Linked DNA regions of Stegostoma tigrinum. The protein of the gene in region 1 interacts with the protein of each later gene in a biochemical or structural test. Links are inferred from orthologs where the notes say so. Each region holds a gene or a part of one and is shown in the gene's direction. Other genes may lie near its edges.

Region 1 (17,200 bases):
AGATTGGAGTTCGATTTCAAAATTTACCTATATATAAACATTGTGATAACATATACAAACCAAAATCAACATACTTTCCATTACAAATGCAGATTGTCCTTTGATGTCTTTCCAGCATTCTGTTTTCAAGATTTCCAAAATGGCATGGATATTACATTCCCAACAGAGATAAATGCTGGTATGTGCAAAATATTTCCAAATGATGGAAATTTTTGAAAAATAACTATGCTTTAAAGTGAACATCCTTCTGGAGTATACAGTCAATGTATACTGATTTCATGGATATGTGGTTGTACTCACCTACTTGTTAGGTTATGATAAAAAAAATCAATTTTGTTCTTATAGGTGTAAGGGCCTATAACTTAAAAACAAAATTAGAAATTCCATTTAATAGCTGAAATTTTATGTTTTATGCGTTATACTGTAACAATAGATGAAAAACATTACTGACTAAACACTAACTTTGTAGGAACCATATTTTAAAACCACAAACAAAACATTCTGCTTCTCAATTTAGCACAAATGAAAACACATTTCACACACACAGTTCATATTAAACAGAATTTTCCCTTTTCTGGTTTGGCATGAGCAATGGTGACAAATTTGGAAAATATATGGAGAATGAAAAAGAAGTCTAAAACTTGACATCGCTAAAACAATTCTGCAGTTTTTCCCTTAAGCTTTACATGGAAACTTCCAAATTTTGCAATGTTGACAAACTCGTTATCAAGGTGGGAAAAGAAATGGAAACTTGGTACAAGCGAGATTTGGTATATCATTAACATCCCATCTTGTCATATTTATATGCCATTTCCAATTCACCTCTCCTTTACCAGGAAAGCAAACCGTGCAAGTTCCCGATATGCAATTCTATCTGGTACCTTGTGACTTTAGCTCTCCAATTGCTTGTTCTGTTCATTTTCCAGCTGTGTTTTTAACACATGTTCTGCAAACTGATTCCCCTCAATCCTTCATCCATACCAGTCAGTATCAAAAAACCACCAGACTCACCGCACCATCATATCAGCGCTCAGATCAATTCACATATCCCCAGTTCAGGTTTTCAATAGCTTACTTTGGAATTCAGGGCCACCTAGGACTTGCATGCTTCTGCATATTATTCTGTTCAAGCAGATACATCCTGCGCAGATGCATGTGTATATTATAGTTTTTAGCTTACTTTCTTAAAGCTCACCTTGCACTTTTTTGGAGGCTGCCAGCCTCTGCCTATTTCACTTTGAGCATGCACTAAGAAAGCAATGACCTCAGCCCTGACTCGCAGGCTGCGAGGCTGCAAGTGGTTTGCAGTACTTTTTCCACGGAAAGAGACAGAAGGTGGGAGTACTAAACAGTTAAGGGAATGGGTAAGTGGGCACCGCTACATCATGCTATGTTGACTGGAAATGAATTAGCTTTATTGTTACACGTACTCAAATGACTGAGTCGGCACTGACAGCACCATTTTAGGTACGAAGGTACCTAGGTACAATCCTTAGTTGCAGAATACAGAAATGAAGATTATGTGCTGATGGTCGCACTAAAGTTGCGGCAGCCGCCACCAAGGCGCAGTGGGGAAAGACCACTGTCTGAGGTGTCTCTGCTGAAAGTAAATGGGGGTCCATTCAGTTATTGGAATCTCCCAGTGTCTCAAATCTATGTAAAAATTGATATTGTATTTATAAGAGAGTTCAACAGAGTCAAAGTTCAATGCTTTTGTTTCGTTCATTTGATATGCAATTGTCACAAATGCAATTCGGTTCTGTACAATGTGTATATATCCACAAAGTTTTTTTAAAGAATAAAGAATATATTTGGAATTAAGAAAAGAAACCAAAAGAAAACTAGCATTACAGCTCTACACAATATATGGTCAGAAAAAAAACCATAAGCCAAGCTAAAAACACAAAAATTACAGATAAAATCACACCTTCAGTATTCATCAGCAGCTCTCACAGAAAACACGCTGCATTTGCTTTAAGCAAATTGCCATCTGTGAAAGTCAAAGTGAAACAGTACTTAGTGGAATCAAGGGGGACTACTCCACTGTTAATCAAGGGGCTGGCCACAGTCAGTCAGTCAGGTTCTTAGCCTTGCAGACTCCAGGGATTAGAATACTTAGACTTTGTGGATCAGGCTAAAGTCAATATGCAGGTCAAGTACAAGCAGACTGAGAATTAAGCATGCATTGGTCAGGGTGCCGTAGAGGTATCAGTCTAACTGCCAGGGCTGTCCTGTCATGTCAGTCCAAGGGATCTGCCGCAGTCACTTTATCAGGGAGCAGTCCATGGAGTCCTGGCTGTAGTGAGCAACTCAATCCTGGGAATGGGGTTCATTGCGCAGGGTTGATGAAAGAACATTCACAGTGATAGAGGGAAATTTTGGATAGAAAAGTAGGACCTCATAGATAGCAGGAACTGTTTGGGTGTTCTGGGAGGTGGCAAGGTTCTCACAGGTCACGATCACCATGGCCTCTGCATGTGAGTGTGCAGGACCACCAAGGGAAGGGAATTTCCAAAAGTGATGGGGTCTGGAGGTAAAGTGGGAACATTAATTGTAATATTAAAGGGCTCAACTGAAATGGGAGGAAGCTGAGGGGTTATGGGACTACAGGAAAAGCAACACTCAAGGGAACAAGGTGGCTGGGGAGAAATATCTTACATCACAGGTGGAGCCTGCACGTTTGTCTCACAAAGAAAATTGGAACCTTGCCACATTGGATCAAAAGCCATCTGTACAATAACCACACAAAATGACTCTCACCTCACACAAATTGGATGGAATAAATTAGTATTGTTTTCTTTAGAATCAAGGTAAAGCTCTGGGAATTCATTTTGTCAACGCTTGGGATTGTAACTTCTTTCATCCTTGAGATATCTGAAGAGGGTACCCATCTCCCACATGGATGTGAGACTTAACCAAGTCTGACATACAAAATTATACTGCAGTACATTGGTAAATATATTTTCATTTGCCCAGTTAAACAAAGTGAATGATGCACCCTAATTCTTTTTCTTCCTTTGGGTGCAAACAGCAGTCGTAACTTCGCGACAGCGGAAGCCAGTTTTGTAGCTAGTCCAGTTGGCATGGATATCTTGAGTGGTTATACGGTAGGTGCTGTTTGGCATTATTAGCCCAGGTCCGCTGAGAGAGTGTCCTTTCACTATCCTCAGTTTGAACTTCTGCAGGCTTTAGGGTCACAGTTTTTCTTTTGGGCTGGGGCGGTCGGGGAGGCACCTCTGCTGTATCCTGTATGTGATAACTTCTTTCGACGTGTGCCAACTGGCACCGCCTGGTCTTTCTGAGAGGAAGCAGCACTTCAGGTTATGTTAAGGTCCCTTGTCCTCCCATTCTCCTTGTTATTGATGTTGACCTATAGGTAAGGAGATGTGATGCAGATCCCTGCAAACATCTGGCAGACAGAGTATGGAGGACTTGGTAACCATGATAGTCACCAACTTTTCCATGCAGTCAGTCAGATATATGTGTACTGTATCCAGCTCAGCGAATGCCTCTGAAGATCCATCCTGCTGTTCGTTTTCACAATAATTAAATCGTCATGCCCTTTTGAACATCTTCTGCCCAAAACTTAGCAACTGCTTGCTCTGCAGCTGTTGTCTGGTTGCTAACTCCTGGGACATCTCTTTGACCAGATGCAAAGACCTGCTCGCTAGATTGGGATCCTGGGTCTATTCTCAATAGAATATCCACTGAGGGTATTCTCTTTGAACAGGTGGGGGGAGTGCAGGCGGGTGCTTTTCCAATGCATTTTCAGAGTTGAATGGCTTCCTTCTCAGGTTTGGATGTGAGCTGGATACCACCAGCTCACTCCTAAGAGAGAGAATTAGTTGTCAAAGAAGGATAAAGGTTAATGGGCTGGATGGCCATTGAGGGCCTCCTGGCTTCACAAGCAGTTGTGCTTTTCCCCAGCTAACTCTAGAATTTTCTCTTTATAGAAAGCAAGAAACCTGATGTCAGCCACCACTCAACTACAGTTGGTCTTGGATTTCTTTTCTATTTATGGGCTAGTTTTTCCGACAATAAGACAGGGAGGAATGACCGAGATGAAAGCAGATGGAAGAAAGGTCAGTGGTGAGTTGTAGTCTATTAGCATTGATGAGACATGTGCGCAGTGGCAGAGTTTAAGTAAGTTGGGGACTTGACAGTGCAAGATGGCAGAGCAAAAGTAGTGGCACTTACCTTATAAACCGCAGAAGATCATTGTCCTTATTTCTACAACACTGGGCATCCTGCTTCACCTGGAATATAGCACTGTAGTATTTTTCTTTGCTGTCAGTGTTGAATTCACTATGACCTCTCTTCTAGGAACGTTCCTCTTGAAAATTTACCCCACCTCACTCCAAGGGATTTTCCATTTATTGCTTCCACCTTACTTAATTGAATTTTAGCTTCTCCTTGACCACGATCGTAAATCTGAAGCAAGGTCACAGACCTGAAATTTTAACTTTGTTTCTCTCTCCACAGCCGATATCAGGCCCGCTAAATATTTCCAGCGTTTTAAAAATTTTTGATTTTCAGTAACTGCAATGTTTTACATTCTTTTAAAATACTTCACATAAGGCAAGATAATAGTTCAAGAGACATTTTTTTAAAAATAGAAAGACAGACAATCTAAAAAATCCATCAGAATAAATCTGTTCTGAGAGGAGGAATATACAGGGGGAAGAAATGATGTTACAGGTATTGTCTCTGATTTAGTAATCCAGAAACCCAAGTAATGTTCTAGGTTCCAGGACAGAGGGTGGAATTTGATTTCAATGAAATCTGGAATTGTCAATTCCATTCTCAATTGTCATAAGATAAAAACCTTTCTGGATCATGAGTTTTCTTTAGGAATGGAAATCTGGTATCCTTACTTGATCCATCTAAAATGTAACTCCACAAAAAAGAAATGTGTTTGATTCCCAGTTGTCCTTTGAATTGGCCTAGGAAGCCTTTCAATTGTATCAAATCATTTAAAAAAATCTCAAAAGAAAATGAAATCACACTAACCATCTGGCATTGAACTAAACATAGGAAATTACAGCAGTAAAGTTAGCCCCGTTGACCCTGTAAAGTCCTTCTTACCAATATTCGGGCACTTGTTCAAAACTTGGAGAACTGACTTACAAGCAGCAGTTTGACAAAGTCAAAACCATGTAAACATACCTTGATGACAATGTCTCAGATACTATCCCCACTCTGGGCATATTCTGTCTTATCAGAATGAGAGCAGAGGTGGTGGCACAGTGACATGCCCTGGGAGTCCATAAGACCATAAGACATAGGAGTGGAAGTATGGCCATTTGGCCCATCAAGTCCACTCCGCCATTTAAATCATGGCTGATGGGCATTTCAACTTCCCTGCACTTTCCTGTAACCCTTGATTCCTTGTGAGATCAAGAATTTGTTGATCTCTGCCTTGAAGGCATCTAACGTCCCGGCCTCCACTGCACTCCATGGCAATGAATTCCACAAGTCCACGACTCTCTGGCTGAAGAAATGTCATCCCATTTCCGTTTTAAATCTAACCCCTCTAATTCTAAGGCTGTGCCCATGGGTCCTGGTCTCCTCGCCTAACGGAAACAACTTCCCAGTGTCCACCCCTTCTAAGCCATACATTATCTTGTAAGTTTCTATTAGATCTCCCCTCAACCTTCTAAACTCTAATGAGTATAATCCCAGGATCCTTAGTCGTTCATCAGTCCTCAATGTTGATTCTGGATCACACGAAGTCTCATTGCATCTGATAAAACATGGACAAGGATATCTCCTATTGATTACCAAATATCACCCCCATCAGACGATGATTCAGTATTCCTCCACGTTGAATTTGGGAGGAAGCAAAGAAGGTGGAAAGGATGCTGAATCTGCTCTGGTAGGAGACTTCAACTTCCAGCACCAAAAAACATATTTGTTTTTCCTTGATCCTTACCAATCTGCCTGTGTGAAATATCTGTCATCGGCAGAATTAGCAGGAGTGACCACTGCAAAATCTTTGTGGAGATGAAGTCCCATCTCCATACTGAAGATACCTTCCATCATGTTGTATGGCACTACCAAATGGGATAGACTGCGCACATATCTGCCACGTTCAGTGGTGAACAGTGGTAGACAATTAAACAACTCATTGAAGGAGCTGGTGCCACAAGTATCCCCATCAACAATGGGGAAGGCCACAGCATTGGTGAAAAGGGTAAGACTTAAGTGCCTGAAACACTCTAGTCAAAAATGCTAAGTGGATGATCCATCTCAGCCTTCTTCTGAGGTTCCCAGGGTCACAATTCACTCCATGTGACACCAATATATGGTAGAAGACACTGGATACTGCTAAAGCTATGGGTCCTGGTAATGTTCCCAGAATAGAACTGAATTTGTCACATCCCAAGTGAAGACCTTTGAGTGTAGCTGCAACACTGATCCTTAGACATCACATTCTAAACCCATGACCACTACTGACTAGAACAACAGCAAGAGATATGTGGAAACACCACCACCTGTAAGCTTTCCTCCAAACTTACTCATTGTTTTGACTTGGAAATATATCATTGTTCCTTCACTGTCACAGGGTCAAAAATCATGGAGCTTCCTTCCTAATAGCATTTTGAGGGTATCTACACCAAATGGATTGCAGCAGTTCAAGACAGCAGCTCACCACCACCTTCGAGGGCAACTAGGGATACATTATAAATGCTGGTCCAGCCAGCAATGCCCACGTTCCATCAATGAATAAAAAATAACTCCATTCAGACGTTTTCTAGCTGTTTGATGTAAATTTATTATTGCAGTTGACAATGTAAGCAGAATACTTTGAAATAAAACAAAGAACTGTGGATGCTGGAAATCTGAAACTCAAATAGAAAGTGCTGAAGAAGGGTCTCTGGACACAAAATACTAACCATGCTTTCCCTCCACAGATGCTGCCAGACTTGCTGAGTTTCTCCAGCAATTTCCATTTGTGCAGAGTACCTTTCCTGTTATAATTTCAATACCATTATTTTCAGCTATCTGAGGTTGATCTAAGGTATGTCATTTATCATTGGTATAAGTTCCTAATGTAATGAGGATTGTGTGTTACAATCTGGCTATGTTAAAAGTGGGAACAGAAAGAACTGATTGTGGATTCTGAAGGGCGCTTACAAAAACCTACATCTCACCAGTTTGATAATTAATTCTGAAGTGCCACAGTTTCACACAAATTACTAGCCTGACAACACTGAACTTTAATCTTGTTTATCCAGCTTTAAAGTACAATAGGTATCTTTTTAACATGCCATTTGACAGATAGATTTAGTTACCAGCATTCAGAGGATGTTACCAAAATTCTTTCTTAGTGGATTTTTTTGCTGAGTTCTAGCCAAATGAGCATATTGAAGAAAATAGAAGACCTTATTCTGTAGGTTCAGTAAATGCAGATGCTGACCAATATTCCATAATTGAGTATTCTTCAAGCAAGATGCTGTTAATAATATGGGCCCAGGAAAAGTGTTGTAGAAAAAACTACAAGTGTTCCATAATGACAATGACTTCAACAACTTGGATTCTATAAACGCCCTCCACAATTGTTCTTATCAAGCGTATTTATAATGCATGGGGAGGGCGAAGAAGAGAGAGAGAAAGCTGCAACTTAACCGAGGTGTCTGAATTAATAAATGCTTTACAGAAAGAGAAAATGGAAGAAGAACTTTAGGATACAATCTACTCATGTATGTACACAAACAAAGCACAGACGTATGGTACATACAACTGAAATATTTTTTAAAAACTCTTCATATGTTTTACACATTATATTCTCCTCCTGCAAATATTGAGCAAAAGGCATTTTTCCTTCTCGGAAGCGACAATTAATAAATCTGACCATTACCTGTAGCCAAAGCCTTCCCCAAACAGGAACTAGCTGCAACCCAAAGCACCTTTTCTAAAAAGCGTGTTTCAATATCAAGCAGCTGATTCGGTAGGATATCGTCTGAGTATTTACGGAGCGCTAGGAAGCGGAATTGTTTAACTGCATACGAGCCTCAGTATTTTTTAAACGTTTTTTGTTTTTGCCTTTTATTGTGTAATTCCTTAAACGGTAAATGTAATTTTACAGTTGTGGTGAATGTGCGGCTGGGCGCTGACGTGTGTTGGCGGGTGATTTATTTCTCATTTTGCTTCAAGCTCTGTTGTTGTGGGAGAGCGATGGCCAGGCCGGTGAGGTGAGTGGATTTAACTGGGTATGATCGAGGAGATAGGCCCGGAATATGGAGGCGACATCCTGGGGTGTGGGGGAAATGGTGGACCTTGGGAGAGGCTTGGTGGCGGGGAGAGACCCGACGGTGGTATGTTCACATTCAGGACGAGGGAACATTGCTCCACAAAAGACCAGTCGTAGAATTTAGTACATGGTGTGCAGGACTGCAGAAATTATATTTGAAAATTCTCTAATCTGTGCTGGCATTTCAGCTATTAGACGAGTTCACATTGTCAAATCCAGATAGACTTCTAGGTTTGACAGAAATTAAATATGCAGATAAACACATTCTGAGAAGAAATGTCAGAAACACGATAAAATAAATATACTTGGAAAGCAGTGTTTTCCATCTGTTTTCATGTTGCAAATGGGGCAATCAGCCATTCAAAAGAAAATGGAAGTCTTAATGTCATTAAAGATCAAGATGTAGGTGCGAAAGAAGAATTTGAATGAGGAGAAATAAGGACAGAAATGCTTTTGTTGAATTCTAGAAGCTAAGAGAATTTGGGACTTACATTAGACAAATGAACCCCATAAATGCACAGAGTTCAGTCAAGTAATGTTTCAGGTGTGATTCAAAGTAACATTGCACCATGAATTAGCATGAAAAGTATGGTAGAATATTCAAAGATTCAGAAGAAGAATGTGGATACATGGATCAAAGAGGGGCCTTTTTATGGTCGTAAGAAGTTTCAGCCCAATGACGAATGTGTTGGTGGCAGAATCTTTCAGTTGATTAGTATTAGACAGCTAGTGAGTTTTGAGAAGGTTTGTAGCTCAGCTGCAGAAAAAACTAGACAAACTCACACAAAATAACAACACAGAAGCATGGATAAAAAACTTATCTGACTGACCATTAACAGATACTGAAACAGCCGATTTAGTAAGAGGATTAAATTACAATTTCCGGAATGTGGACAAGAACTGAGCTACAAAGTATTAGATGGTGGCTGTAGGTCTGCACTGGGTGAAGTAGATGATTAAATTGGTACCTATACTCTCTGATAAATAAGGGTTGGACCAAAGGCAAGGAATTTGAGATTCTACCAGCTTCACATTTGGAGAAAATAACGTACAAAATCTTGTTTTAAAAAGAGTAATTACTCCTTGTAAAATAGCTATAATTAAATCATTTTTTCAGTGTTCCATTCAATACTGATGTTATTGAGTAAGCCTTTGATAAAAATAAGTGTATATGAAACTGGATATGGAAAGTAAGAAAGTCAATGGATTTGGAAAATCCTGTAACTTTGCAATTTATGCTGGTCAGATACTACTAAGTAAATTATTTTGAAGAAGTGTTATTGACATCAGGGGATAGAAATTTAAAAGACTAATAGTTAATTGTGTTAAAACAACGTGGGCAATTTGTTGATGCCTCCGCCAAAAGGTTAAAAATTTTAGTAAATGATTCAGGAACACGGAATGAGGAATGTTACAAGTTTGTCGAAGTGTTAAGTAATAGATGTAAGATATTGAAGGACGCTGTCATGCCTCCAGTAGGTCTGCTGTGAGCAAGGTACTTCATCGAGATAGTGGTAATGGACATAAAGATGTGGGATAAGAATGAAAAATGTTACATATAGGTTTGGCAACCAGATTGAATCAATCAACAATAACACATAGTAAAAATATGAAAATAATTATGGATCAAGTAATGAAAATGGGGGTGGGACTGGACGTGGACTGAGAATGAGTATCTGAGAATGGGGGGTAATTTGCCCGTGATAAATTACAAGATATATGCAGAAATATGAACTTAACAGTTCTGAATATGACAGCAGGAAGCCATTTTACCGACAGGCTATGTGAAAGGAACTATGCAGTAATAGACAAAATGATTCATTGTTTATGATTTGGTCTGCCAAAATTCTATCGTCTGCACGAGCATGGCTGGCAATGTCAAGAATTCACTGCAGATGATCGTAAAATATAGTCCAAATCATTTAGTAGTTGTTACATATCGTTAAGTTCTATCCATTATAAGTCATCAGCACCCAGCTTGTGAAGGGTCTACAATTAACTTTACTGTGTTGAACATTTGAAGGCACTACATGCAGGCAGACAGGCTTTTAATAAAGTGACAGTTTCACAAAGGATCCAGCAATCTTTAAAGTATGGTGTAAAGCTATTGGAAACCAGTTTCAATCAAGGAGATGTTGTTTATTATGAAAGAGAGGGGCATAAATAGTAGTGGAATCGTAGAATCTCTAGAGTGTGAAAGCAAGCCATTTGGCCCATGAGTCCACACCAATCATCTGAAGACCATCCCAACCAGACCCACTGTCCTATCCTATACTTGTAACCCTACCTTTCCCACAGCTAGTCATCCGAGCCTACACATTCCTGGACAATTTATCATAGCCAATTCACCTAACTTGAATATCTTTGAACTGTGGGAGCAAACATGCACAGACACGGGAAGAATGTGCAAACTCCACACAGACAGTTGCCATAGGATGGAATCGAACCTGGGATCCCTAGCACAATGAGATGGCAGTGCTAACCACTGAGCCACTGATGCCTAGGAAAGGTTATTGGTAAGGATGGAGAAACAATATTTGTATAGCAAGGGACAAGGTTGCTTGGGAACATCGTTCAAGAATTGCTTGGTGTAAATTTCAAATTTATAGATTCTAAAGGAGTTAAAGAACAGGATAGGGGATCCTGATACTTCTCGTGACCATATATTACACAGCTATGTGGATCAGACTTTTAACATTGACAATTTGTTTACTGAAGGATGGACTAATTCAGATTATCAAAAGGACAGCTACCAAAGTGGGTACGAAAGTCATATTTGTGCCACAAGGGGCTAGTCAGTGGAAAAACTGGACTATAATTAGGAGATTGAGTAAGGCCACTGGAGAGTATAACACCTTTACGATTGTACAGAATAACCAACAAGACATTAGCCCATGGATTGGGAGCAGGAGGTACAAGAAGTGAAGGTGAGAAAAGGCTGTGTAAGTTCATGCAGTGGTTCTGAAGTCAACTTGTCCCTAAAAAGAGATCATGAACTGTTGGAAAGAATCCTATTAATAGACAAAGAGATCACAACAGTAGCTATTCAGAAAGGTTTAGTAAGCAAGATAGAGGATACCGCTTATAAAGGTCAAGGACCAGAAATGTTACCAAGAACAGAAGCCCATTCGATCAGAAAGTCTCTGTGCTACAAACAAGTTGAAAGATGAGTTAATAAAATCTGCCATAAAGAAGCCACTACAAAGTCTTGAGAGAATTTCACGTGTACGCAGAGGTGGTAGATAGGGGACCACCAGCACTGTATCATAGATGAATATGCTTAGAAAAGATGTCTTCTAACGGGACTTACAAGACTCAAGCCAAGCTAGTGGATTGAGATTGTGGAGTAAAACTGGGGCAAAAGTAGATGCACCTCAGGATAGGAATTTTGAAGATTTTCTTTTATTTGTTAGCAGCGAATACTTGGGAATGTAGATCAATTCTTATTAGAGTTGTATTTCTGCAGGGAGTTCAGCTAAAAAGAGTGTTTCTTTGCCATCCAAAACAGAACACTTTTTGGAACACTCCGCAAGTTCAATCAAGGTGTAGATTGTCTAAATGATGCCTCTAGAGCTTGGTACTTCTCAGGAAGGTCCATCTTGTTGAAGCCAGCCCTGCCCTGTTTTACCAGCGCCATGGAGGAGTGGGTGGTGGGGGTAATTTTTGGGCATCCTTACTGTGCATGCAGTTGATTTTTTTTAGTCTGGAGGAAAGAGTGCCGTGAATTTGACAACATCGTCATAATTGGGCTTCAAGCAGAATTCAAAATTGGAAGCCAGGCTTCTTGGTCTTTTTGTGGGTACCACTGGGGTACCACAGAGTTTGGACTTCAGGCCCCAACTATTTACAATCTATATTAATTACTTGGATGCAATGTAGAAAATCCTATAGCCTAATTTGTAGACGACACCAAAATAGGTGGGAAAGTAAGTTGCAATGAAGAAACAAGAAATTTACAATTAAATATGATTGAGCCAAAACTTGGCTGATGAAGTTTTATGTGGATAAGTGTGAGGTTACTTGTTTTGGTCTGAGGAATAGAAAGGCAACTTACTTTTTTAAATGAAGTAAGCTTCAGAGTGCTTCGGTGCAAAGGGATCTGGGAGTCCTCATGCATGAATCGCAGAAAACTAGAATGCAGGGTACAGCAGGTAATAAAGAAGGCAAAAGGAATTTTGGCACTCATTGAGAAAAGAATTGAGCTTAAAAGCAGGGAAGTGTTGCTGCAGTTGTATAGGGCATTGGTGAAAACGCACCTGGAGTATTACATACAATTTTATGTCCCTTAACATGAAGTGCATGTAATTGCATTGAAGGCAGTTCAGAGAAGGTTCATTAGATTGATTCCAGAGATGACAGGTTTGTCTTATGAAGCAAAATTGAGCAGTTCATGCATGTACAGCTTAGGTGGGGCAGTCTAAAATGAGAGGTCACAGTTTTAGGTGGCAGAGATGAAGTAAAATTCTCTCAGAGGTCATGAATCTGTGGAATTCACTACTCCCGAGTGCACTGGATGACAGGACATTGAGTAAATTTAGGGAGGAGATAGATAGATCTTTCAATACTAATAGAATGAAGGGTTATGGAGAACAGGCAGGAGAGTGGAGTGGAGGCTGAGATGAGATCAGCCATGATCATATCAAATGGTGGATGAAGCTCGAAGGGCTGAATTGCCTACTTCTGCTCCTAGTTCCTATGGTCAAATAGTTTTGGATTGAAAATCAGACCCAGTGATTGGAGTGTTGCTTTGCATAACAATCTTATTTAGAAAATGTTAACTCCATCACAGTTAGTCAAAGTAGGGAAAAGATGCTGAATCTTCCAAATGCAATGGAGGAATTGTGAAGTCAAATTGGACCGCTAAATTGGCTGGACATCTAAATGAGGTCATATGCTAATTTTGAGGCCTAGGAGTTGACAGCGAAAAACCCCAAAGTGGAAGATATTATTTGGATGAACAAAGCATCGAAAAAAATTAAGAATGATGCATAGTGTTTTCAAACTTCCATCCTTGGTGGAAACCAGGAATGTGAAACTTAATGTTTCTACTGATGCTTCTTATACAAGTTTCTATCTGTTCCAAGCACAGGAAATTTTTTAATGTTTATTTTGGGAGACGGAGGCAAATATTACCCTTTTAGTTTGGGTAGCTTCAAAAGTTCAGAAGAATTACCTTAGCAGAATCTCCTTGCTCTTGTTGAGGCAGTCGATGTAGTATTTTCCCTTGTGAAATTATTGGAGGTATTTGAAAAAAGGGATTTTGCAGCAATACCCATTGACTGCTGCATTGATGATAAATCAGTATTGCATAATGTACATTCAATAAAATGTGTGAATGAGGTAAGCCTGAAGATCATTATTGCAGTTTTAAAACAGATGTAGAAAACAGGGAAATTTCCAAATTGTAATAGGCAAAAAGAAGCAGTCTGTTTTCTGACTACTTTATGAAGAAATAAGTAAGCTCCAAGAGACTATTTGAAATTCGAGAAAAGTGGATGTTTGAAACTCTAATGTACATTTAAAAATGTAGGAACATTGAATAATGTCATTTTACTCAATATGTTGTTGTTTTGTGTTTTTCTGATAGTTTTTCACTGTTGTTGCATGCATATTAATCTATTTTTACAAAAGAAAAGAGAATCTGTTATAATCTAGCTTGGTGCTAAATGGAACAGGGAACGGGTGTATACAAAAAGCAGGACAAATTCAACCTGGCCATTTACTACCGCATTGATTTACACTCAATCATTAGTAAAGTGATGGAAGGTGTCACCAATAGTGCTATCAGTCAGTGCCCGCTCAGCAATAATCTGGGCAGTGATGCCCAATTTGAGTTCTGTCAGGGTCTCAGCTCCTGACCTCATTACAGCCGTGGTTCAAACCTGGACAAAAAAGCTGAATACCAGCGGTGAGGTGAGAGTGACAGCCTTGACATCCAGACCTCATTTGACTGAATGTGGCATCAGGGTACCCTAGCAAAACTGGAATCAGTGGTAAAGGGGGCAAATCTTCCAGTGGTTGAAATCATACCTGACACACAAGAAGATGATTTTTGATGTTGGAGGTCAGTCATCTCAGCTCCAGGATATGTTTTCAGGAGTTCCTCAGAATAGTGTCCTAGGTTCAACCATCTTCAGGTGTTTATCAATGACCTTCCATCATAAAGGCTAGAAGTGATGATGTTCGGCACCATTCACGACTCTTCAGATACTGAAACAGTCCATTGTTCAAATGCAACAAGATTTGGACAATATCCTTGATTGGGCTAGCAAGTGGCATAGAACATTGTGCCACACAAATGCCAGGCCATGACTATCTCCAATAAGAGACAATCTAACCAATGCTCCTTGACACTCATTGATATCACCATCACCTGAATTCCCCCACTGTCAATATCCTCGGGATTACCATTGACCATAAATTCAACTGGACTTCACTACATCAATGCAGTGGCTACAAGAGCAATGCAGAGGCTAGGGATACTGCAATGAGTAACTCATCTCCTGACTCACCAAAGCCTTTTTGCCATCTAGTACAAGCGTATAAGATTAAGGGATTGGACACTCTGGTGGCAGGAAGCATGTTTCCGCTGATGGATGAGTCCAGAACCAGAGGACACAGTTTAAAAATAAGGAGTAGGCCATTTAGAACAGAGTTGAGGAAAACTTCTTCACCCAGAGAATGGTGGATATATGGAATGCTCTGCCCCAGAAGGCAGTGGAGGCCAACTCTCTGGATACTTTCAAGAAAGAGATAGATAGACCTCTCAAAGATAGTGGAATCAAGGGTTATGGGGATAAGGCAGGAACAGGATACTGATTGTGGATGATCAGCCATGATCATAATGAATGGTGGTGCTGGCTCGAAGGGCTGAATGGCCTACTCCAGCGCCTATTGTCTAAGTCAGGAGTGTGATGGAATGCTCCCCACTTTCCTGAATAGGTGCAGCTCCAAGAACACTCAAGAAGCTTGACATCATTGTGGATGGTACCACATCCACAAATATCACTCTCTCCACCTCTGATGCTCAGTAGCATTAATGTGGCTTATCTAAGCTGCACTACAGGAATTTACCAAAATCCTTAAACAGCATCATCCAAATCCATGTCCACTTCCATCTGGAAGATAAATGGGAATAGATAAAACAAATGTTGGCAGATAAATGGGAACACCACACTTGCAAGTTGCCCTCCAAGCCATTCACAATCCTGACTTGGAAATGTCTTGCAATTGAGGCCCAGTAACTGGTGGGCGGGTTTGTGAGGGGGATTTGGGGGTAACCGAGGGGAACAGGGGTAGCAGAGGGGGAATGGGACAATTGCGGAGTAGTGGGGGTAACTGAGGGGGAAATGGGGTAACTGAGGGGTTGTGGGGGTAACTGAGGAGGAATGGGGTAACTGAGGGGTTGTGGGGGTAACTGACGGGGAATGAGGTAACTGAGGGGGAGTGGGGTAACTGAGGGGTTATGGGGTAACTGAGGGGTTGTGGGGGTAACCGACGGGTTGTGGGTGTAATTGAGGGGGAGTGGGGTAACTGAGGGAGAATGGGGGTAACGGGTTGTGGGGGTAACTGAGGGGTTATGGGGGTAACTGAGGGGGAGTGGGGTAACTGAGGGGGAATGGGGTAACTGAGGGGGAATGAGGTAACAGGGGTTATGGGGGTAACTGAGGAGGAATGGGGTAACTGAGGGGTTGTGGGGGTAACTGAGGAGGAATGGGGTAACAGGGGTTGTGGGGGTAGTAGGGGGAATGGGGTAACGGGTTGTGGGGTAACTGAGGGGGAATGGGGTAACTGAGGGAGAGTGGGGGTAACTGAGGGGGAAATGGGGTAACTGAGGGGTTGTTTGGGTAACAGGCAGAAATGGGGTAACTGAGGGGTTGTGGGGGTAACTGAGGGGGAGTGGGGATAACTGAGGGAGAGTGGGGGTAACTGAGGGAGAGTGGGGGTAACTGAGGGAGAGTGGGGGTAACTGAGGGAAAATGAGGATATCTGAGGGGGAATGGGGTAACTGGAGGTGGAATTGGGGCAACAGATGATGCCCCATCCTCCCATCCGCTTTGCTGATTCCCCACTTGATGTTGAAGGCCAATGGATTTCAGGCAATTTCTCGATCTCACGTCCATGAAGACAACAGCAGAAGGTAGGACCCATCGGAGAATCGAACCCACGATGTAAAGGTGCGGAGGTCACTGCGCGTCTCATTATACCTGACCTCAGATACGAGAGGCATAGATAGAGTTGATAGCCAGAGACTATTTCCCAGGGCAGAAATGGCTAGCACGAGGGGTCATAGTTTTAAGCTGGTTGGTGGAAAGTGTAGAGGGGATGTCAGAGGCGGGTTCTTTACGCAGAGAGTTGTGAGAGCATGGAATGCGTTGCCAGCAGCAGTTGTGGAAGCAAGGTCATTGGGGTCATTTAAGAGACTGCTGGACATGCATATGGTCACAGAAATTTGAGGGTGCAGACATGAGGATCAATGGTCGGCACAACATTGTGGGCTGAAGCGCCTGTTCTGTGCCGTACTGTTCTATGTTCTGTGTTCTATGTTCCTTAAGCGTCACTAAGTCGAAAGCCTGGGACTCACTTCCTAATGGCATTGTGGGTCTACTGACAGAACGTGGACAGGATGTTCAAGAAAACTGCTCATCAACACCTTCCCAAAGGCAAGTAGGAATGGCCGATAAGTGCTGGCCAGCCGGGGATGCCCACAGAATGAATAAAAAGTTAATTTAAGAACTGAAAAGTGCTGGATCAGTGACGTATTGTTAGGAAATACAAACACCAATGGAGCAGTCACTGAGAAATCCTAAGCAGAGAAGAAACAGGCCTATCTGATCTAGAATGGAGATGCCATTTATGTTGTCTACAGGAAAAATGAGCAGGATTTTGCACATTTGTACAAATGACAGCATCCAGTGAAATGTATAATGATTCTTGGAAAGGCTT
Region 2 (16,775 bases), on another chromosome or scaffold:
AGACACATGGAGGATAGCAAAATGTAGGGTATGCAGGGTAGATTGAACTTAGTAGGATAATAGGTCAACCCAACATCGTGGGCTGAAGGGCCTGTACTGTTCTATGTTCTAATTGGACCCAATGGGCTCTCTCATACTTATCAGTCTCCCATGAAAGACCTTAAACAAAATGTGAAACTCTGAAATTTAGAATTTTAGTAGTTAACCAGGGATTGGAAGATTTAGCAATAACTTTCTGAAATAAACAGTTTCTTGAAATAAAGGAACAAAATTTTGAAAGCAATTCACCATCCCTAAGAAAAGGTGGTGTTGAAGCTACATAAACAAATTGTTTTAACATCTGTTTGACAACTAGATGCTTTGTGACCAATAGGCAATTAAGATTGGCTGCAGATATTTTTAAGGAGTTAATGGCAGGATGGTTTTTTTTTTGGCCAGATAGCTAACACCAAATGTATGGGACAGAAAATCTACTGATAAGAAGGCAAGTTACAGATTTGTTGACTGCAGAAGTGTCATAAATCCTGTCATACCACAAGCTTAACAAGACAGGGAATCCAATAAAAATTCAACTTTGGGATTCTTCAGCAGAATTCTGAAGAGCCACACTGCTTAAGGATCATCCAGAGACAGATGGTCTTAGTTGGAATTGTATCTAAGTTCCACCATTAATTGGGTAATGATTAAGTTGGGTTGTGAGGCTCAACTTGCTTACTTGAATGGTCATATTTTGCCTGCTACAAGCAATAGAGTTTAAATAATTGTTTCAGCATTTGATTATGAGATTTCTGTTATAACTCATAAGAGTCTTGCTGAAGTTCAAGTTGATTACAACTAAAACATTGCCCTCAATCTACAAACCTGGTCACTGTTCAAAAAAGTACAATCAAGTTGGTCAGATATAACCTGCATTAAGAAAACCATGATATTCGTGATTAATCTTTGCCTCTCCAAATGCAGATTAATTCTGAACCTTCTGAATTTTTTCTGTTAGTTGGGAGGTGCCATGGAATACCAGATCAAAGGCCATCTGTGCAGAGAATTTCATCAACATGCTCCGTCGCCTCCGCCTTCAAGATGTTGATGACAGACTTCACCCGCAGAATATAACAGAAACATTTAAGCTCAAGCAGAGATGTGTCATTGCCTCCACCCTTTTCTGTATCTTCAGTTTGCATTCTCCGCATGTGTGCATGGATTTCCTCCAGGTGCTTGAGTTTCCTCCACAGACCAAAGATGTGCAGGTTGGGTTGGTTGGCTATGCTAAACTGGCCTGTAGTGTCCACGAATATTCAGGCTAGGTGGATTAGTCATGCTGCAACTGTACAAAATGCTAGTGCAGCCTCGTTTAGAATATTGCGTGCAGTTCTGGTCGCCCCATTACAGGAAGGATGTGGAAGTATTGGAGAAGGTGCAGAGGAGATTTACCAGGATGTTGCCCGGTCTGGAGCGCAGGCCCTATGAAGAAAGGCTGAGGGACTTGGGTCTGTTCTCATTGGAGAGAAGGCGGCTAAGAGGGGATTTAATAGAGACATACAAGATGATCAGAGGATTAGATAGGGTGGACAGTGAGAGTCTTTTTCCGAGGATGATGACTTCAGCTTGTACAAGGGGGCATAGCTACAAACTGAGGGGTGATAGATTTAAGACAGATGTCAGAGGCAGGTTCTTTACTCAGGGAGTGGTAAGGGCGTGGAACGCCCTGCCTGCCAATGTAGTTAACTCAGCCACATTAGGGGCATTTAAACAGGCCTTGGATAAGCATATGGATAATGATGAGATAGTGTAGGGGGAGGAGCTTAGATTAGTTCACAGGTCGGCACAACATCGAGGGCCAAAGGGCCTGTTCTGTGCTGTATTGTTCTATGTTCTATAAATGCATGGATAAATAAATACAATAGGGGCATCGAAGGGATATTTAAATAAGCACATGAATATGGAGGAATATGGACTCTGACCAGCTAGCTCAGAGCCAGCCCCTAACATGAGGGGAATCCTGAGACTTCTGTTTATATCTGTCAGCCAGGACTTCCTGATTGACCCAGGTTAACAGCCCCAGTCAGATAATGCATACTCGATGGATCCACCTAGCCAATGTCGTTCCAACCACTAAATCCCTCCCACACTAAGTCTGGCGATGCAGGCATGTTGTTTCTCTTGTGGCTTCTCCTGGAACATTTTCACCCCAAGTCCATTCCTCTAACTCAGCCCTGTAAATGGATGGCGTGTACCAGACTGTCTGACCGTCTCTTGCACCTGGACCATCTCAGCAGATATTTCTCTTCTTCTTCAAGTGGTAACAGTATCAAGACTGCAACATTGGCTGCATCCATCTCTGACTCTGAAGTTTCTTCAACGCCAGATGGAGAGGGAGAACCCAATGTGTCTCTGACAGCTTTACCGGCTGAGCTAAGGGGCAGGGCACTTTCTGCTCCTGCCCAATTTTGAGGTAACAGCTTTAGTGTCATACACATGTTTGTTCAGGACTGCCTCACCTACCACAACCTTGCATGTCACAAGGCCTGATATCACATCACCAATGCTTCATACCCTTGCAGGGCCATTACTGAGTTTCAACACCAAACCTGGTCCCCTGAAGTAAATTGTCTCTCTTATTTAGAGGAGTCTTGTATTCAGCATTGGTGTCCCGATGCCGTATCACGCTCACCCTCCAGCTGTGGGAATATCAGGTTAACCTGGTCCGGAGTCTTCTCTCCATCAGTAATTCTGCTGGAGCAACCCGTGTAGTTGTATGAGGGTGGTCCTATAATCAAACAGGAACCATACTGGGTTGGCGCGACCTTGCCGCCTTTAAATATCCCTAACAGTGGTCGGTTGCTGTTACAAATTTACTTCCGTAAAGGTATAAATGAAACTTTCTCACACTGAAAATGACCACCAAACGTTCCTTCTCTATCTTGACAAATTTGTGTTCGGCATCAGCCAAAGTCCAGGAAGCATACGCTATCGGGCTTTCCTATCTATTGGGCTACAATTGAACCGACTCTTAGCTGATACCATACAGGCAGGCATTGCATGTCAGTAGCGCATCTTGCGTAGGTTTGTAATGAGCCAAGACCTTAGATGATAGCTGCTTTTTCACTTCCCTAATGGTTACTTCTTGGATATGTGACCATTTCCAAGGCTGACATTTTATCAATAGCAGGTTTCAGGGTGCCAGATTATCGATGAGTTTTCCATAATAATTCACCGGGGAAATAAAAAACCCAGGGAACAACCTAAACTCTGGTACAGACCTGGGAGCTATGGCATCTTTGATTGCCCTCACTTTTTCTTCTAAAGGGTGTAACCCAGTCTTGTCAACTCTATAGCCCAGGTAGGTTACTTGGGGTGCTTGGAACACACATTTTTTTCTCTTCCAAGGCATACATCCACCTGGGAGAAACATTTAACCAAATGTAAGGGTTGGAGTCCAGAGCAAATCTTGTTAAAAACTGGTTCTGCGATCACTGATAAAGCTGTGCTGGTATTGACCTCCATTAGAATTGGGTGACCACTTAACCAGACATTTAATTGATTGGTTTTGATTTGGATGTTGTGAAGCAATTTAATTGTTCCAAACCACATGCAGGTAAACTTGCCAGGGTGTGCACTCCTGGATACTGATCTATGAGTTGCCTAACTCAAATCAGGCCTCATGGGACTCCTTTGTTATCTCAAGTTCACAGCAGCAACTACAATGCCTGGCTAGCCTGAATTCTAAAGAACAATTGGCCAAAGCTCGCCTTTGTTTTGAGGTTTTGCTGTGGGCTGATCTTGGGTCCATCTTCTCTACCAGGCCCTACTCTTTCCCTGGTTATTCTGCTCCCGTTGACATACTTGTTGAATATCTTGGGATTCTCACAAGTCTTGCCTGCCAGTATTTTTTTTCCATGCCAATCTTTACTTCCTAAGTGCTTTCTTGAGATTCCCCCTGCACTTTTCATACTCCTCCTTGTAGCTCATCCTCCCACTAAGCTTTAGTCATCTGCAAATTTGAAGATATTACATTTAGTTCCCTCATCTAAATCCTTAATGTATACTGTGAATACACCCTACACCATAAATGTCTACTTTGAATTTACTTTTGAACAGAAGAGTTAAATGTGATACTTTCCAGTGTACAGAGACAATGGGAACTGCAGATGCTGGAGAATCCGAGATAACAAAGTGTAGAGCTGGATGAATACAGCAGGCCAAGCAGCATCTTAGGAGCACAAAAGTTGACATTTAGGGCCGAGACCCTTCCGGCCCAAAATGTCAGCTTTTGTGCTCCTAAGATGCTGCTTGGCCTGCTGCGTTCATCAAGCCGTACACTTTCCAGTGTACAGTTGGTTCTGTTATAATGCATATTTGGGCAATGCAAATTGGCTATAATGCAACTGACAAATAGGGGAATGCTATTTCTAAAGTGCAAACTTGTGTTGGCTATAACATGATTCCATCAGTACACAGAGGAGTGTTGACATCACATGATTGTTTTGCGGGCTTTGTCCTAAACACGTGCAATGTTAGTGCCAGAAGAGTCTCCGCTCAGGGATCTCATGATTGTTTCACGGCTTTGTCCTGAATAAGCGCAATGATGGCACTGAAAGAGTCTCCACGCAGGCATCATATGATCATTTTGCATACTTTGTCGTGGTGATTTCTGTGAGAGGTACAGCACTCTGTGATTTTCATTTTGCGCTTGCAAATTCTGCCGTGTTACCCACAAAAATACAAGGACAAAGTGACAAGAATGTTAGCAAGAAGTGTCCTGATGTTAGAATTATGAATGGTGAATGTAAAAGGCTGTAACACTGGAAGAGAAGCCAGAAGTTATAAAGCGTTTTGAGCGGAATGAGAGAACATGTGACATAGTTCATGTAACAGGAAAAAAGGAGTCTGTCTTACACACAATTAAAGACAATGTAGAAAAGATTAAAGCAAACTGTATTGCTCAAACAAGTCAGAGTGCTACCAAATCCGGGAGGTCGTGGACAAAGGAACTTGAGTAGATGGAGTGGCTTCTCAGTGTGTGGATAGAAGATCAAACAAAAAAGCGATCTTGGACCATCTTTCTCACCATAAAAGGGAAAGCTTTATTAATTTATGAAGATCTAACAAAAAAAACTGAAAACCCTGCAAGGTGTGCCTGCATTTAGTCCTAGCACTGGCTAGTTTTCTGGTTTTAAGAACCACTGTGCTTTTCATAACATAAAGTTATGTAGCGAAGCAGCCAGTGCAGACAATGAACATGCAATGGCATTTCCTCCCATTGTAAAAAAAAATTGTTGAAGAGGACTACAACTTAGATCAAATTTTCAATTTTGATGAGACAGGTTTATATAGGAAGCAAATGCCATCAAGAACCTACATTTCTATGAAGGAAGCACACATTCCAGGCTTTAAGTTGACAAAGGATCGTATGACTGTGCTGCTGAGTGACAATGCCAGTGGTCACTTAAAGCTTAAGCCTGTGGTGGTGTACCACTCTGCCAACTCGTGAGCCTCGGAAGGTTATCTTAATTCTACTTTAGGTGTCTACTTTAGATCAAGCAAAAGAGCTTGGACGATGGGGCAATTTTTTTCTGACCTTATTGTTGATGTTTTTAGAAAGTATTGCAGGAAAACTTGTTTGGATTTCAAGATTCTCCTCATCCTAGAAAATGCGCCAGGCCATCCCCCCACCATTGGTGAGCTTTCTGAAAACATCAAAGTGCTATTTCGATGCCCAAAGACCACCTCTCTCCGTCAACCCATGGACCAGGGTGTAATAGCAAGATAAGAACAGTGTTCTTCAATTTTGAAAGAATTTTAATGTCAAGAACGCAATTATCATTATCGTGGAGGCCTGGGATGATGTCAGTAACAACAGCTTGCATGCAGTTTGGCAGAAGTTTCTCCCAGATGTTTTCCAAGGTTTTAAAAGCTTTGATCTGTCAGAGGAACTCCTAAGATTCAAAGAACATCGTGTTGATCTTGCAAAGCAAGTTCGAATTGAAGAAGTGTAGAGTGAGGATGTTGAAGAGCTGCTCGAGTCCCACTGTGAAGACCTCTGTACAGCTGATCTACAACAACTTGTCATTGAGAGGGAAGTGGAAACTGTAGATGAAGAAGCTGAAGTCCCAGACGCAGCACCACAAGACCTTTCCACTTCTGTTTTGTCTTCTACCCTGAGAGAAATTGAGAAGCAGTTGCAGGTCTTCCAGGACAACAAGTACAATGCAGAATGCAGCAGGGTAGCAGTTTGTGGAATAAGATCTTATTTGGCACCCTATCTGCAGCTTCTTCATGATAGAAGAATAAGGATAAAGTGACAACAACTGGATGTCTTCTTCAGACCAACCACCAAGAAATAGTCGGAAAACAATGAACCGTGGCCATCCACTTCTGGATTAACTATTTTTCACCCAAACCCTGCAACCACAACTGCACCTGAAGGTGGTGATAATGATGATGATGATGATGACCCTCAGCACCTGCATTAGCAACAGAGCAACCTCAACACCTCCTCCTTCATTAAGTCACCTTGACATTTTTTCAAGGTAAGGTGTTAAATTTACATTTGTTTCATTATTAGATATGAGTTAAACATTTATTCAGACTGTGCTATCCTTTGTGTTAGGCTTTTGAGTGATTTTTGAGCAATTTTAAGTGATATATTTTGATAGTCTGCTTTTCCTATAGGCCTTATTATTCCTATGGCATGATTTTCTACAATGTGATGTTGCACAGGATTGCAACTATTTATCATTGCATAACTGACTGTTGTAAATTTTGGAAAACTTAACAATGCAACAACTGTCTCACTAGACATTTCTTCACAAATGCTATGTTTCTATGAAGTCCAACATGATCCAGGAACATTGTCAGCTACCAACTCCAAAATATTGCTCAGAACCATTTTCTTGGATATTGTAAGTTTCTTGAGGTTCTCCCACGCCTCCATTTCTTATTTATCGCTGTTCCTGGGAGTTTACTTGCATCCCTTGCAGCGAAGACTGATGCAAAAATCCTATCCAAATAATATAACAAAGTGTGGAGCTGGATGAACACAGCAGGCCAAGCAGCATCTCAGAAGCACAAAAGCTGACGTTTCGGGCCTAGACCCTTCATCGGGTCTAGGCCCGAAACATCAGCTTTTGTGGTCCTGAGATGCTGCCTGGCCTGCTGTGTTCATCCAGCTCCACAATTTGTTATCTTGGATTCTCCAGCATCTGCAGTTCCCATTATCACTATGCAAATAATATGCCATCTCCTTAATTTTTGTTGTTAGTTCCCCAGACTCACTTTTTATCGGAATAACAGTCACTTTAATTCTTTTCCTTTTTTCAGTAGCTATAGAAACTACTATCAACAGTTTTTATATTTCTAGCTAGCTTACCCTTGTACTTCCTTTATTATTAGTCTTTTAGTCATTTTTTATACTCTATTCAATCTTCAAACCTTTCTTTGAGTAATTATTCTTTTTCTTTAGATTTGATACTAACTTTAACTTTTTTTAAATTAATCACGGATGGTCGGTTTTCTCATTAGATTCTAACAAGAAAGAAAAGTTCTATTTATTCATTCTGTGTAATATCCTTTTAAACGTCTGCCACTGCATCTCTATTGAATTTTCCTGAACCGAATTTGCCAGTCACATTAGTTAGCTCTGTTTTCATTCCCTCAAAATTGTCATTGTATAAATTAAAAATATTAGTCTTGGACCCCACACTCTTCTCTCCCTTAAATGGAATGTAAAATTCAAACATATTATTATTGCTGCTAATAGGAGGGCAGGTTGACTATTAAGTCATTAATTAATCCTATCTTTTTGCACAAATTCGAGTCGATATGACTTCCTCTCTGATTCATACCAGTACATACTGTTTTTAAAAATACTACAAGTTGTCTTTGTGTTAAACTTCAGGAGATGGGAGCGATATTAAACTAATATCTTGCATCAGTTTTTACTGTAGAGAAAGAAATGGATGCTATGGAACTCATGGAAATAAATATTGATATTTTGAAAACCATTCACATAATAGAAGGGGAAGTGCTAGAGATCTTAGAAAACTTAAAATTGGTTAAATCTCCAGGACATGATCTAGTTTATCCCAGGACTTTGTGGGAAGTTAAGGAGGACATTGCAGAGTCCCTTGCTAAAATATGTGTATCATCTATAAATACAGGAGAGGTGCCAAATGACTGGAGAATGACTAATGTGTCTTTGTTTAAACAGGGATGTAAGTAGAATCCTGGAAACAGTATACTTGCGAGTCTGACTTCGGTGGTGGGCAAGTTGTTGGAAGTGATTCTGAAAGATGGGATTTATATGCATTTGAAGTGGCGAGGAATGATTAGGGATTGTCTGCATGGTTTTATGCAAGGTAAGTCGTGTCTCACAAACTTGATTTTCAGTTTTTTGATGAAGTAACCAAGAAGATTAGTGAGGGCAAAGCGGTAGTTGTTTTTTACTTCCACTTTAGTAAAACGTTTGACAAGGTTCCGCATCGTAGACTGATTAGTAAAGGTAGGTCATATGGAATTCAGGGTGAGCTTGCCAATTGCTTATGAAATTAGCTTAATGGCAGGAGACAAAGTGTGATGGTGGAGGCCCGTGGCAGGAGTGTTCCACAGGGATTGGTTTTGGGTCCACTTTTGTTTGACATTTATATAAAAATATAGTAAACATGGTTAGCAAGTTTGTGGATGACACCAAACTTGGTGATACAGTGGGCAGTGGAGAAGTTATCAAAGATTACACAGAAAAGCCACACACACAGACCAGGTATTGAACTTCAATAGTAACCATCCCAGCACACACAAATGAAGCTGCGTGCAAACACTATTTAATAGGGCAACAACACACTGCAGCAACATGAACTATGTCAAGAGGAGGAGGAATACCTCTTCCAAGTGTTCAAGGATAATGGACATCCAAAGAACTGGGTCAGGAGATGCCTACAGGAACAGCATCAGAAAGATTCTACACTCATCACACTACCTTACATCAGGAACACATCAGAACTCACCACAAGACTTCTACGACTACTCAGCATCAGAGTTGCACACAAATCCACATCAACCCTACGACAAGTGCTCACCCGAACTAAAGATCCACTCCCTGCCATGGACAGGACCAATGTCATCTACAAGATCCCCTGCAGAGACTGCAAGAAACACTATATTGGACAAAGAGGAAGGAAACTAACAACAAGAGTACATGAACAGCAATTGGTTACAAAAAGACACGACCAGTACTCACTCACTCATCTCAATCCACATGGACAAGGAGAACCATGACTTCGACTAGGACAACACCAAGATCCTGGGACAGGCTAGGCACAGACAAGCACGAGATTTCCTGCAAGCATGGCACTCCACGAAGCATCCTATTACTCAACAAATTGAACTCGAACCTATATACATTCCACTACAGATGAAATCCGCAAGTGAGGCAATCCAACGCAAGCCACCCCAGAGTTTAAAAACCAGACAGGGAAACACACTGATGCTTCATCAGAAGCTGCACTGAGGACGTTACCAAGCACGGTAACAAAACACCTGCAGAACAACAAACTAGCTTGGCGAGCCAACCAACCTCAACATCCACAACCCGAGCTACAAATCTACTCCAAAACCTTAGAGTATGCAGATACTGTTACAACATTTAAAAGAGATTTAGAAGTACATGAATAAAAATGTTGTGAGGCATATGGGCTAAGTACAAGTAGGTGGGACGATTATAATTTGGAATTATGATCAGCGTACACAGGTTGGACGAAGGGGTCGGTTTACATGCTGTGTGACTCTACCCTGAAAACATTCTATGAATTCATCTTCTGAGCTATTTTGCCGATTTGATTTTCAAAGTCTATATCTATTAAAAATTCCTCCATGACTATCACGTTATCCTTCTGATAGATTTATTTCTTCTGTTGTATGGCTATGGTTAGAGGACATACACACTAATCCCATAAGTGAGTTCTTGCCTTTAACTTTTCTTATGCCAACTTGATTTCCGAAGAAATTTGGTTTATTGTGCAACACTCGAAGAAATGCCTTTCCGGGGGGGGCACGGTCCACGGGAGGACGGTGAGCGCAATTCCCACCAAAACCAACGGCCGCCTAAATTCAAATAGCGAACACGTGATGAAGACCAACAATAGGAGCGGCGGGAGTGCCAAACAGTCTTCAAACTTAGAGAGCTGGGGCCGCGAAGGTAAGGGGCTCCGCGGGGGGGGGGGGAGTGAAGGATGAGAGAAAAGCTGAGGGGAGAGAGGAACGAGAGAAAAGGTGGTGGGAGGGAGGGATGAGGCAAAAAGAGAGTAAAACTGGGGGAGAGAGAGTAATAAGAGAAAAGGAAGAGAGAAAAAAGTAGAGGGGATTGAGAGAAAAGTGGGGGAGAAGAGGGATGAGAGAATAGGTGTGGGGGAGAGAGGGGGAATGATAGAAAAGATGCGAGCGAGAGAGGGCGAATGAGAGAAAAGGGTGGCGAGAGAGATGAGAGAAACGGTGGGATGGACTGAAACAGGGATGAGAGAAAAGGGGTGGGGAAAAGGAATGAGAGGAATAGAAGGAGAGCGATGTGAGAAAAGTGGAGTGGAGAAGGGGGAGAGAAAAGTGGAGTGGAGAGGGGTGAGAGAAAAGATGGTGGTGGAGAAAGGGATAAGAGTAAAAGCGAGGGGTCCGAGAGAGGGATGAGAGGAAGATGAGAGAATAGGTGCTGTTGGGGATAGAGAGGAATTAGTTAAAAGGTGGGGGGCGGGAGAGAGGATTAACTAAAAGGTGGGGGATAGTAGGGGATGAGAGAAAAGGTTGGGGGAGAGAGAGAGGGATGACAGCAAAAGTGGGGGGAGAGAGGGGAGAGGTAAAAGGTTGGAGGGTGATAGGGATGAGAGAAAGGTGGAGAAGTGACAGGAAGATGTGAGAAAAGGAAGGGGGGAGCGGGATGAGAGAAAAGTGGTGGGGCGAGAGTGGAATGAAGGAAATGTTGGGGAGCAGAGAGAGGGATCAGATAAAAGGTGAAGGGGAGAGAGATGGGCATGAGATCAAAGGTGGCAGGAGAGAGAGAGAGGGATGAGAGCAAAGGTGCAGCGAGAGAAAAGGAATGAGAAAAGCAGACAAAGAGAGGGATGAGAGAAAAGCCTGGGAGAAAACGGGGGGGGGGGAAATACGCTTGATAGAAAAGGGAGAGGAGAGAGATGCATGAGAGAAAAGGTGGGTGGAGAGACGAAATGAGAAAAAAGGTGGGTGGAGAGAAACAGATGAGGGAAAAGGTTGGGAATGAGAAAGAAGGATGAGAGAAAATGTTGGAGAAACAAGGGAGAAGACAGGGATGAGAAAAGGGGGGTAGAGAGGGATGAGAAAAGGGATGAGGGAAAAGATGGGTGGGGAAAAGCGAGAGAGAGGATGGGAGAAAATGTGTTGGGGGAGAGAGAGAGGATTGAGAATAAAGGTGCGGGGGAAAAGAGAGAAAAGGTGGGGGGTGAAAGGGATGAGGGAAAAGGGTGGGGGGAGAGAGCGATTATGGAAAAGGTGGGGGAAGAGAGGGATTAGATTAGATTCCCTACATTGTGCAAACAGGCCCTTCGGCCCAACAAGTCCATACTGCCCTTTGGTGCATCCCACCCAGACCCGTCCCCCTATAACCCACACATCCTGAACATTACAGGCAATTTAGCATGGCCAATCCACCTACTCTGCACATCTTTGGACTGTGGGAGGAAACCAGAGCAAACCCGCACAGACACGGGGAGAATGTGCAAACTCCGCACAGACAGTTGCCCAAGGCTGGAATCGAACATGAGCCACCGTGCTGCCACTTATGATGGGAAAGTTTGGGGGAGAGAGGGATGAGGGAAAAAGTTGGGGAGCCTAGAGACAGTTGAGAGAAAAGCGATAAGGGAAAGGGGGTGTGAGAGGGATGAGAATAAAGTTGGTGGAGGAAGAGAGGATTGAGAGAAAAGGTAGCACGGAGAGAGAAGGATGAGAGAAAAGGGGGCATAGAGTGAGAGAGAAGGAGGGAATGAAAGAAAGTGAGTAAAGAAATGAAGGGAAAGTGAAGAAGAGAGGGATGAGAGAAATGGGGGTGGAGAGAGGGATGACAGAAAAGGCAGGTTGAAGAGATGGATGAGAGAAGATGGTGGGGGTAGAGAAAAAAGATGGAGAGAAGGGTCTGTGAGAAAAGTTGGGGAGCGAGAGAGGGAGTAATTAAAAGGTGGTTGAGAGAGGGATAAGAAAAGGTTGGGGGAAAGAGAAGGATGAGAGAAAAGGAGGCAGAGAGAGATGAGAGAAAGGGGGTAGAGGGGTGAGAGCAAATGGGGAGCAGAGAGGGATGGGAAAGGCTGGGTGGGAGAGAGAAAAGGTGGGGTAGAGAGAGATGAGAGAAATAGGGGGAGAGAGAGGGAGGGATGAGAGAAAATGTTGAAGGGGAGATGGAAGAGAGAAAAGCTGGGGATGGGGTAAAGAGAAATAAGATGCGGATAAGACAAAAGGTGGAGCTGAGAGAAATGGGGGAGTGGTTAGAGAAAAGAGAGGGAGCTGTGAGAAAAGGTGGGGGCTAGAGAGAGGGATGGGAGAAAGGTCGGGGTGGGGTAAGAGACAGGGATAAGAAACGGTAGGGCGGATGGAAGAGAGAGGGTTGAATGAATGGAAAGAGAGGGGTAAGGTGGGAGGTCGGTAGAGAGATTAGGTGAAAGGTTGAGGGTTGGGTGAGGGAAGTGGACAGAGGGATGAGAAAAAACTGGCAGGAAAAAGGGATGAATGAAGGGGAAGAGCGAAGGAAAAGAGGAAATGTGGTGGGGTGGCAAGAGAGGAATGAATGATGGATGAGAGAGTGGGACGAGGGGAAAGGTGGGGTGTGGAGACATGAATGAAAGTATAGGGGGGAAGGTGGGATGGCTGACAGAGGGATGAGGGGAAAGGCTAGGGCAGTGGACAGAGGGATGAGGGGGAAGGCCACGGATTGCAAACAGAGGGAATGAGAGGAAAGGTGGGATGTAGCTAGAGGGATAAGGGGTTAGGAGGGTACGGAGAGTGGGGAGGAGAAAGGTGGGATGGTGGACAGAGGGATGAGGGCAAAGGTTGGGCGTGCAGACAGAGAAATGAGGGACAATGGTTGGGGGAAGAGAAAGGGCTGATTGAAAGGGGGCTGAGAGGGATGAGTGAAACCGGGGTGGGAGACAGGGATGAATGAAGGGGGAGAGACAGTTGGGGGAAAGATGTGGGGGGACGGAGACAAATGAGGGAAAAGGTGTGGGCTGGTTGGAGACGGCTGAGGAGAATGGTGTTGGGGAGGTGAAGAGAAGGACATGGGGAAAGGTGGGGGTGTGGAGAGAGGGATGAGGGTAGGGAGGTGCGGATGGTAAAGGGAAACATGGTCCACGTAGCAGAGAGGGGTACGAGAATAACGGTGGGTGGGCATGGCGAAGGGGGGTTGAGGGGAAAGGTTGTGGGGCGGCGGAGAGGGGTACAAGGGGAAAGGTTGTTGGGGTGGCGGAGAGGGGGACGAGGGGAAGGGTTGCGGGGCAGCAGAGAGGGGGACAAGGGGAAAGGTTGTGGGTGTGGTGGAGAGGGGATGAAGGGAAAAGTGGATGGGGATGGCACAGAAGGGCACGAGGGGAAAGGTGATTGGGTGTAGAGAGGGGTTGAAGGGAAGGGGGTGGGGGCACGGAGAGGGGGACATGGGGAAAGGTGGTGAAGGCCTGGAGAGGGGTCGAGGAAGGAAGGACGGGGGGATGAGGAATTGGGGGGAAGGCGAGAGAAGGAAATTGGGGGAGAATAGGACGAGGGAAGGGTCAGAGTGGAACCAGGGAATTGGAGGGGGGATGAGTGAAGCGGAAGAAAAGGTGAGAAAAGGAAATGGGGGTAGAGGGGGATGAGTGAAGGGGGACGAGGATGGAAAGATGAGAGAAGGAAAGCGGGAGAGGAGAGGGATGAAGGGAAGGGGGAAAACAAGGAAGGGGGAGAGTGCAATGCAGGAAAGTGGTGAGACAGAGATGAGGAAGAAGGCTAGGGGTGAGGAAGGGAAATGGTGTACAGTAGATGAGGGGGAGGGATTAGGATGATGGGGGGGTCTGGGAGCAGGATGGGGGGGCATGAGTGGAAACGGAGCATGATGAGGGGAGGGAGTGGGACGGTGAGGGTAAAGTAGTGGGATGGGGGATTGGGGCAGCAGGATGACCAGAGGGAATGGGATGGTGGGTGGGGTGAGGAGGGAGTGAGTTGAGAGGGGTTGGCTGGGAGCAGAATAGAACTACAGTTAGGACTTCCTATATTAGAGCACTGGCAGAACTTCACTTCAAAAGTAAAAACCGAAAGAACTGCCGACACTGTAAATCAGGAACAAAAACAAAGTTGCTGGAAAAGCTCAGCAGGTCTGGCAGCATCTCTGAAAGAAAATATAGTCAACACGGCTTTGTGAGGGGTAGGTCATGCCTTACAAACCTTATCGAGTTTTTTGAGGATGTGACTAGAAAGGTTGATGAGGGTCGAGCTGTGGATGTGGTGTATATGGACTTCAGTAAGGCATTTGATAAGGTTCCCCATGGTAGGCTCATTCAGAAGGTCAGGAGGAATGGGATACAGGGGAACTTAGCTGCTTGGATACAGAATTGGCTGGCCAACAGAAGACAGCGAGTGGTAGTAGAAGGAAAATATTCTGCCTGGAAGTCAGTGGTGAGTGGAGTTCCACAGGGCTCTGTCCTTGGGCCTCTACTGTTTGTAATTTTTATTAATGACTTGGACGAGGGAATTGAAGGATGGGAAGTTTGCAGACGACACAAAGGTCGGAGGTGTCGTTGACAGTGTAGAGGGCTGTTGTAGGCTGCAGCGGGACATTGACAGGATGCAGAGATGGGCTGAGAGGTGGCAGATGGAGTTCAACCTGGATAAATGCGAGGTGATGCATTTTGGAAGGTCGAATTTGAAAGCTGAGTACAGGATTAAGGATAGGATTCTTGGCAGCGTGGAGGAACAGAGGGATCTTGGTGTGCAGATACATAGATCCCTTAAAATGGCCACCCAAGTGGACAGGGTTGTTAAGAAAGCATATGGTGTTTTGGCTTTCATTAACAGGGGGATTGAGTTTAAGAGTCGTGAGATCTTGTTGCAGCTCTATAGAACTTCGGTTGGATCGCACTTGGAATACTGCGTCCAGTTCTGGGCGCCCTATTATAGGAAAGATGTGGATGCTTTGGAGAGGGTTCAGAGGAGGTTTACCAGGATGCTGCCTGGACTGGAGGGCTTATCTTATGAAGAGAGGTTGACTGAGCTCGGTCTCTTTTCATTGGAGAAAAGGAGGAGGAGAGGGGACCTAATTGAGGTATACAAGATAATGAGAGGCATAGATAGAGTTGATAGCCAGAGACTATTTCCCAGGGCACGAGGGGTCATAGTTTTAAGCTGGTTGGTGGAAAGTATAGAGGGGATGTCAGAGGCAGGTTCTTTACGCAGAGAGTTGTGAGAGCATGGAATGCGTTGCCAGCAGCAGTTGTGGAAGCAAGGTCATTGGGGTCATTTAAGAGACTGCTGGACATGTATATGGTCACAGAAATTTGAGGGTGCATACATGAGGATCAATGGTCGGCACAACATTGTGGGCTGAAGGGCCTGTTCTGTGCTGTACTGTTCTATGTACTGTTCTATGTTCTATATGTTAACTCCGTCTTTTCTTTCACAGATGCTGCCAACCTGCTGGGCTTTTCCGGCAACGTTGTTTTTGTTTACTTCAAAAATAATTAATTGGCATTGAAGAGCTTCGGGGTTTCCTGAGATTATGAAACGTTCCATAGAATTTCAGGTTTATCTTTATTCATGAAATGTTGTCTTGCTCTTTTGTGCTTTTAGCAATACAACTGATTCTAAAGTAAGTGCCTTGCATTTGTTTGCAACAATGAAGGCCATGGAGGATCAGGTGGTTGAGGAGGAAGTTAGCTTCCAGGATGAAGAGGTACAGTAACATTACTTGCAGTATCTAAGATTGTTTCCATGATAGTGTATCATGGCTCAAAAATATGAAACCTCTTTTTGTATTCTTCTTTTATAAGTGTACAGTTAACAAAAAGAAAAATACAGGAGCAAAAATAATGTGAATGCTGAAAGTCTGAAAATAAAAACAAAAAATGCTAGAAATATTTAGATGCCAAGAAGCATCAATGGAGAGAGAGAGAGACAGGTCAAAGAATCAATAATATGTCTTAGATAATAAAATGTGAGGCTGGATGAACACAGCAGGCCAAGCAGCATCTCAGGAGCACAAAAGCTGACGTTTCGGGCCTAGACCCTTCATCATGTCTTAGTTGGTTTTTGATTACAGAGCTAGATCAGCATGTGAGAGCACAAAGAAAGTGGCAGAGAAGTAGGCAGCTTAATTGAAGACAGGCTGATGCAAATGCAACACAAACAATCCTTTTTGAAATCTGAAACATCCTTCCAAGCAGGTTTGCTGGTACGATTGGTTAGAGTTTGGCTGGGGGTTGAAATAATACAGTACAGAAGATCAAGTTGGTATTGCAAAAGTGACGCTAAGTCTACAATAATCCTATTTTCAGCATGAGGCCGACTTTTGAATTTTATGACATTTGAAGTGCTTAACTATGTACTTTTTAAAGGTTGTGAGATTATGCCCCTCAACTACTCTGCCAGGTAGTACATTCCAGACCCCCACATGAAAATATTTTTCCTCAAACCCCTTCTGAACCTCCTACCTTTCACCTTAAAATTATGCCCCCTTGTTATTCATCACTCAGCTAAAAGGATCAGCTGCTTTCTGTTCACCTTGTCCATGTGTCTTATAATTTTATACT

Evidence for each region.
Region 2: the proteins of rad51ap1 (region 1) and dmc1 form a complex in vitro, tested with the Homo sapiens proteins (2 studies listed by BioGRID and IntAct). The link is inferred for Stegostoma tigrinum from reciprocal best matches to the Homo sapiens genes RAD51AP1 and DMC1.

Annotation. Positions count from the first base shown.
Region 1 is NC_081378.1:34,609,484-34,626,683, reverse strand, and holds the start of rad51ap1 (RAD51-associated protein 1), read left to right. Parts: upstream 1-8,096; 5' UTR 8,097-8,178; coding exon 8,179-8,195; intron 8,196-17,200. UniProt on the Homo sapiens protein: Structure-specific DNA-binding protein involved in DNA repair by promoting RAD51-mediated homologous recombination.
Region 2 is NC_081391.1:989,231-1,006,005, reverse strand, and holds the start of dmc1 (meiotic recombination protein DMC1/LIM15 homolog), read left to right. Parts: upstream 1-10,127; 5' UTR 10,128-10,189; intron 10,190-15,816; 5' UTR 15,817-15,862; coding exon 15,863-15,919; intron 15,920-16,775. UniProt on the Homo sapiens protein: Participates in meiotic recombination, specifically in homologous strand assimilation, which is required for the resolution of meiotic double-strand breaks.